2 linked regions of the Macaca fascicularis genome follow. The protein of the gene in region 2 binds, or shares a complex with, the protein of the main gene of each other region. Links are inferred from orthologs where the notes say so. Each region holds a gene or a part of one and is shown on either strand. Other genes may lie near its edges.

Region 1 (3,500 bases), about 150 Mb from region 2:
GGTGTTGGACTTAAGACAATAGAGAGAAGAGGAAGTAAATCAAGTCAACAGGGTAAATACAAGGAGCTGAAAAATGAAGAGGTATTTATTAGCCAGAATGCACCTAAAATCCAGGCCAACATTAAATAGAATGCATATATGCTATAGCTTTACTTACGCTGAATTCATATCGTAGAAGGATTTATTATAATTTCAGTTTGACTTTGTTAGGGCTTTTAGAGCTAATAAAAATTGTGATTTGGCTATAAAAGGTGAGGTACATCTTATAATAAGTTATCTTAAATATAAGAATGTAAATTTTATTTTTCCTAAGAATGAGAAATACAATTTTCTTATTGCTAATAGAGAAGGCAGTTTATTCTTGTTTCCGTGTCCTAAGAAACCAGTATTCATTTATTTCTAAAAATGTTTATGTAGGCTGGGCACAGTGGCACACCTCTGTTATCCCAGCACTTTGGAAGGCCAAGACAGAAGGATTGCTTGAGGCCAGGAGTTTGAGACTAGCCTGGCCAACATTGCAAGGCCCCATCTATGAATGAATGAATGAATGAATGAATGAATGAATGAATGACAAAGGATAATATTTCCAATAGTCTTAGTATGGAAAATTTCCAGTTTTCTTGAGAAATGGGTTTCTTTGGTTTTAATGAATTAAAATGGCCTTTGGAAGTCCCCTCCCTCTCTTTCTGAGTCTCTTCTCCAGAGTTTGGTATCCTTAAATTATCCCTGATACTTTTCTTTTCTTCCTCTCTTGTTGTCACTCATTTCCTATTTTTAAAATTGTTGCATGGGATTGTTGCATATACTCCTTAGGAACATGTCATACTAGAATTAGGAGGTACCCACGAGGTTATCTAATCAAATCATTCCATAATACAGGAATTCCTTCTGTAACATCTGACAGGTATTCACCCATCATCTGCTAAAATACTTGCAAACATAGGGAACTTAGTACTTTGAGGGATTACGTCACTGGAGAGTTGCCTGATTATTCAACAAATGATTTTGAATGCTTAGTATATGTAAAGCCTTTCTCTGTCTGCTTTTAGACATTTCTTTATCCAGGATTTGCATACCTGCAACTTAGATTGTCATTTCGCAGACAAATAAAAAGTCCAGTAAATCTTCGACTCTTTAGGGATATGAGAGTCAAGACTTTTCTGTAACCATATATCTCCACCTGTTGGTCATACATATCTGTCTTTTCAAATAGCCCGTTTAAGGTGTAAGCCTTCATTGGAGGCTCAGGTGCACTCAAGTCACCAGATGAGTGTTCTCCTCTTTGGGATAAGGCTTTTCATAAGTTTTCATACGGAGAATCTCTCTTAGGTACTCCCTTAGCCATGCACACAAAGTACTTCTTCGATTAATTATTCGTTTCTGGGATATCTTGATATCAAGAAGCTGGTCTGGAAAGGGGATATAAGCATTCTGGTCCCAAGAAAAGGATATCCCTATTTCAATTTAAATAGACCTTCTGATTTATAATTTTTTAAAAACTTACTAACAACTGATTGAAATTACTTTTTGTTGTGTTTGCCCTCAGAGTTTCAGGAAGTTTTTAACCGAAGTGTCATGATTGTTGCAGCAACAAATAGACCTGATGTGTTAGATACTGCTTTGTTACGACCTGGAAGATTAGATAAGATCATCTATATCCCACCTCCAGATCACAAGGTAATCATTGTAAACATTTACTGTGTGTGAGCTCAGCAGAATGGAATTCCAGTCTGGATATAGGTGTCCATGGTGTTCTACTCACTCTGGGTTCCACCTTCTTCCTTGCCTTCCTTCCTTCCTTTCATTGCATTATAATTTTGATCTGCCTTTGTTGGATACTCTGATCCTGTTCACAGAGAAACATAAGCCTAAATATAAGGTGGTTATTGTATGTGTTGTGGCAGACTCTAAATACGGAGTCAACTCAGCATTATTTTGCAGCTAGAGTAGAGGAATCGTAAAGTGTTAAAAGAGCTTTGAAGATTGAGTCAGCATCCTTATAGTACAGTGCAGAAGTCGGAAATCACAGAGATTATGATGTGTATCGTGGTCAACCAGTAAATTTGTTGTCCTTAAAGTACAGTGCAGAAACCTGAGATATCAGAGATTATGCAGTGTATCATGGTCAACCAGTACATTTTTTGTCGTTAACATCCAGAGCCACTGACAGGCAAGGTGAAAGGCACAGAGTGAATTTTTTTGTTCCTTGAGCTTTTATCAAGTTTTGAAGGGATAGAAAAATAAAATTTATTATCTGTTATACCTTTAAGTTATATCTGATAATTCATGTATTTGCTTCTTAAGCCATGTCTAATAGTATTATTTGTACCCAAAAGAGAGATTCAGCTGGGCGTGGTGGCTCACATCTATAATCCCACACTTTGGGAGGCCAAGATGGGCAGATCACCTGAGATCAGGAGTTCGAGACTAGCTTGGCCAACATGGTGAAACCCCGTCTCTACTAAAAATACAAAAATTAGCTGGGTGTGGTGGCAGGCTCCTGTAATCGCAGCTACTCGGGAGGCCAAGGCAGGAGAATCACTTGAACCCGGGAGGCAGAGGTTGTAGTGAGCCAAGATCGTGCCACTGCACTCCAGCCTGGGCGACAGAGCAAGACTCCATCTCAAAAAAAAGAGAGAGATTCATAAGTTTTTTATGATGTCATGATTTTTACCATTGTCATATGGGCCATTGATGACTTAGTCCTTCTAACCTCTGTATATACTTTCTCGGTAATGTGAAAGAAAACTCAAGCTAAAAATATTTTAATAAATCATTGTGTCAAACATAAATGTTATAAGATTTAAAATACTGTTTTTTATTTTGTTCCAGGGCAGGCTTTCTATTTTAGAAGTCTGTACAAAAAACATGCCAATAGGTCCTGATGTCTCCTTAGAAAACCTAGCAGCAGAAACCTGTTTTTTTTCTGGAGCTGATCTTAGAAACCTCTGCACAGAAGTAAGTTAATTAGTGAAGAAATTTGTGGTTCAAAACATTTCTTCATCTTTTCAAATCTTCATTCACTCAGCAGTATTTACTAAAAGCCTTTGTGGTACAGGCTTACGAAAAAAAGTTTTTCGTAAACTTTTACTAAATATAACATTCAGAAAAATGCACAGATCATAAGGGTACAGTTCATTGAATTAAATGATCACATTTTTATAATCACTACTTATGTCAGGGAATAGAACATTATCAACACCCCAGAATCTTCCTTTGGGTCCTTTCCCAACCTCTGTCACCTACCTTCTTCTGAAAGAGAACTATTGGCTGGGCTTAGTGACTCATGCCTGTAATCCCAGCACTTTGTTGGGGCCAAGGCAGGAGGATCATCTGAGCCCAGGAGTTGAGACCAGCCTGGGCAACATGGGGAGCCCCTGTCTCTATAAAAATTTTTTTTTAATTGTCCCGGCTACTCAGGAAGCTGAGGTGGGAGGATCACTTGAGCCTGGAGGTCAAGGCTGTAGTGAGCCATGATTATGTCACTGTACTTCTGCCTG
Region 2 (3,500 bases):
AAACTCGGGAGGCGGAGCTTGCAGTGAGCTGAGATCCGGCCACTGCACTCCAGCCTGGGTGACAGAGCAAGACTCCGTCTCAAAAAAAAAAAAAAAAAAAAAAAATATTCTATGTTGTCTTCTTCCAGGAACCTTCACATTCATTCAGACTTTGTAGTTTCCACATTTATTTGTCCAGTTGATACAGCATTTGAGATAGTTTTACTGTTGAAAATTATGAGGACATTTGCCCTCCAACTATGATTGTATATTCCATGATAATAATTTTGTTTCTTTTATACCCTATCAGCAAAGACTGTTGGAATTGTAACGCCCAGAAAACCTGTCTTATCTGTCAGTGCAAGAAAAATTAAGGACAATGCGGCTGATTGGCATAATTTAATCCTGAAGTGGGAAACCCTCAGTGATGCAGGTTTTACCGCTGCAAATAATATTGCCAACTTGAAAATCAGTTTATTGTAAGTACATATTGGTTTTTCATGCTCTAAGTTTTTCACCCTTAATAACTGGGGAAATATCAACATGAATAAATTTGAAAATAAAATATTAAGCAAAAAAAGCAAGTGGTAAGATGACACATGAGACAAAATTATATTCCTTTTTTTTTTTTTTTTTTTTTTTTGAGATGAAGTCTCACTCTGTTGCCCAGGCTGGAGTGCGATGGCGCAATCTTGGCTAACTGCAACCTCCACCACCTGGGTTCAAGTGATTCTCCTGCCTCAGCCTCTGGACTAGCTGGGATTACAGGCGCCTGTCACCACACCCGGCTAATTACTGTATTTTTAGTAGAGTCGGGGTTTCACCATGTTAGTCAGGATGGTCTCGAACTCCTGACCTCACATGATCCACCTTCCTCAGCCTCCCAAAGTGCTGGAATTACAAGTGTGAGCCACCACGCCTGGCTATTCTGATTTTTAAAACCATAGATTCTTTGATTCTTTTGTAGTTCATAGGCGTGATGATTGGGTTTTCATGCTCATGTATGACCTGTGCCTTCCTCAAACTTTGCTATGATGTTGACACAGTATGTAGCTGATATGGAAAAAACTACCATGGATTCTTTTTGTCCATTTTTTGATTTTACATAAACAAAAAACATATGTTAGTGTTTCCTTTATGTCTCGCTTTCTTTTTCTATTTTTATTTTTGGAGATGAGTCTCACTCTATCCCCCAGGCTGGAGTGCAATGGTACGATCTCAGCTCACTGCAACCTCTGCCTCCCAGGTTCAAGCAATTCTGCTGCATCAGCCTCCTGAGTAGCTGGAATTACAGGTGCCTGCCACCAAGCTCAGCTAATTTTTGTATTTTTTGTAGAGACCGAGTTTCACCATGTTGGCCAGGTTGGTCTCGAGCTCTTGACCTCAGGTGATCCGCCCACCTCAGCCTCCCTAAGTGCTGGGATTATAGGTGTAAGCCACTGCACCCAGCCATGTCTCACTGTCTTTCAACATGGAAGCCATCCATGTAATGTAGAGCCACTATTCTGGTTCTGTTCTTTCTCATTGCTGTTTAATAGTGTTTACCCACATTAGACCTCTCAAACTCTGCCACTGGTTTATCAACTAAGTTATGTAATGTTCTCAATCTTTTGTTGTCATTTCAGCAATGTGCACAGCATCTTTCCCAGGAATAGGTTCCATCTCAAGAAACCACCTTCTTTGCTCATCCATAAGAAACAACTCCTCGTCTGTTCAAGTTTTCTCATGAGATTGCAGCAATTCAGTCCCATCTTCAGACCCCACTTCTAGTTCTGCTTCTCTTGCTTTTTCCACTGGCAGAGTAGATTTAACATCATTCTTAAGGGCCCTAGGAGTTTGAGAATGGTAGATGAGCACTGGATTCAACTTAAAGTCACTAACTGCAATATCCCCTAACGAGAGGGTCAACCTGTCTCTTGAAGCTTTGAAGCCTGTCATTGACTTCTCTGTAGTTGTGAATGTCTTGGATGACATGTTCTTCTAATAGAAGGCTGTTTCATCTACATTGACAATCTGTCATATCGTGTAGCTACCTTCATCATTGATCTTAAGTAGATCCTCTGGATAACTTGCTCCAGCTTCTACATTAGTGCTTGCAGCTTCACCTTGCACTTTTATGTTATAGAGATGGCTTTTGTCCTTAAACCTCATGAACCAAATCCTGTTAGTCTCAAATTTTTCTTCTGTAACTTCCTCATGTCTCTCAGCCTTCACAGAATTGAAGAGAGTGAGGGTCCTGCTCCGGATTAGGCTTTGACTTAAGGGAATGCTGTGTCTGTTTTGCTCTTCTGTGCAGACCCCTCAAACTTTCTCCATATCCACGCTAAGGCTGTTTCACTCATCATTCACATGTTCACTGGAGTAGCACCTTTAATTTTCTTCAATAACTTCTCTTTTGCCTTCACAACTTGGCCAACTGTTTGACACAAGAGGCCTAGCTTTTGGCTTATCTTAGCCTTTTTTTTTTTTTTTTTGTACAGATGGAGTCTCGCTCTGTCGCTCAGGCTGGAGTGCAATGGTGCAATCTTGGCTCACTGCAACCTCCGCCTCCTGGGTTCAAGCAATTCTCCTGCCTCTGCCTCTCGAGTAGCTGGGACTACAGGTGCATGCTGCCACGCCCGGCTAATTTCTTTTGTATTTTAGTAGAAATGGGGTTTCACCATGTGGCCCAGGCTGGTCTTGAAATCCTGAGCTCAGGCAATCCACCCGCCTCGGCCTCCCAAAGTGCTAGGATTACAGGCGTGAGCCCCCGCACCTGGCTCCTTATCTCAGCTTTTGACATGCCTTCCTCACTAAGCTTGATCATTTCCAGCTTTTAATTTTTTTGTTTCTTAAATTGGCCAAAGTATAGCTTTTGATTTAAAATGAGAGATATGCAACTCTTCCTTTCACTTGTACATTTAGTGGCCAATGTAGGGCTATTAATTGGCTTGATTTCAATATCCTCCTATTTCAGGAAATAGGGAGGCCCAAGGAGATGGGGAGAAATGGGAGCAGCCAGTCAGTGGAGCAGTCAGAACACACAACATTCATTCATTAAGCTCGCTGTTACATGTGAACATGGTTCATGGCACCTCAAAACAATTAAACTAGTAATATCAAAGATTATCAATCAAAGATCGTAGATATAATAATGAAAAAGTTGGCCGGGCGCGGTGGCTCAAGCCTGTAATCCCAGCACTTTGGGAGGCCGAGGCGGGCGGATCACAAGGTCAGGAGATCGAGACCACAGTGAAACCCCGTCTCTACTAAAAATACAAAAAATTAGCCGGGCGCGGTGGCGGGCGCCTGTAGTCCCAGCTACTCAGGAGGCTGAGGCAGGAGAATGGCGGGAACCCGGGAGGCGGAGCTTGCAGTGAGCCGAGATTGCGCCACTGCACTGCAGCCTGGGCAACAGCGTGAGACTCCGTCTCAAAAAAAAAAAAAAAAAGAAAAAGTTTGAAGTATTGTAAGAATTACCAAAATATGATACAGAGACATGAAGTAAGCACATACTATTGGGAAAAATGGCGCTGGTTGAT

The links.
Region 1: CINP (region 2) and AFG2B share a complex: the UniProt entries of both Homo sapiens proteins name them as parts of the 55LCC heterohexameric ATPase complex. The link is inferred for Macaca fascicularis from reciprocal best matches to the Homo sapiens genes CINP and AFG2B.

Annotation. Positions count from the first base shown.
Region 1 is NC_088381.1:21,930,022-21,933,521, forward strand, and holds part of AFG2B (ATPase family gene 2 protein homolog B), read left to right. Parts: coding exon 1-52; exon of another isoform or gene 53-81; intron 82-1,546; coding exon 1,547-1,677; intron 1,678-2,832; coding exon 2,833-2,958; intron 2,959-3,500. UniProt on the Homo sapiens protein: ATP-dependent chaperone part of the 55LCC heterohexameric ATPase complex which is chromatin-associated and promotes replisome proteostasis to maintain replication fork progression and genome stability.
Region 2 is NC_088381.1:170,470,776-170,474,275, reverse strand, and holds part of CINP (cyclin-dependent kinase 2-interacting protein), read left to right. Parts: intron 1-287; exon of another isoform or gene 288-289; coding exon 290-458; intron 459-934; exon of another isoform or gene 935-1,038; intron 1,039-2,459; coding exon of another isoform or gene 2,460-2,581; intron 2,582-3,500. UniProt on the Homo sapiens protein: Component of the DNA replication complex, which interacts with two kinases, CDK2 and CDC7, thereby providing a functional and physical link between CDK2 and CDC7 during firing of the origins of replication.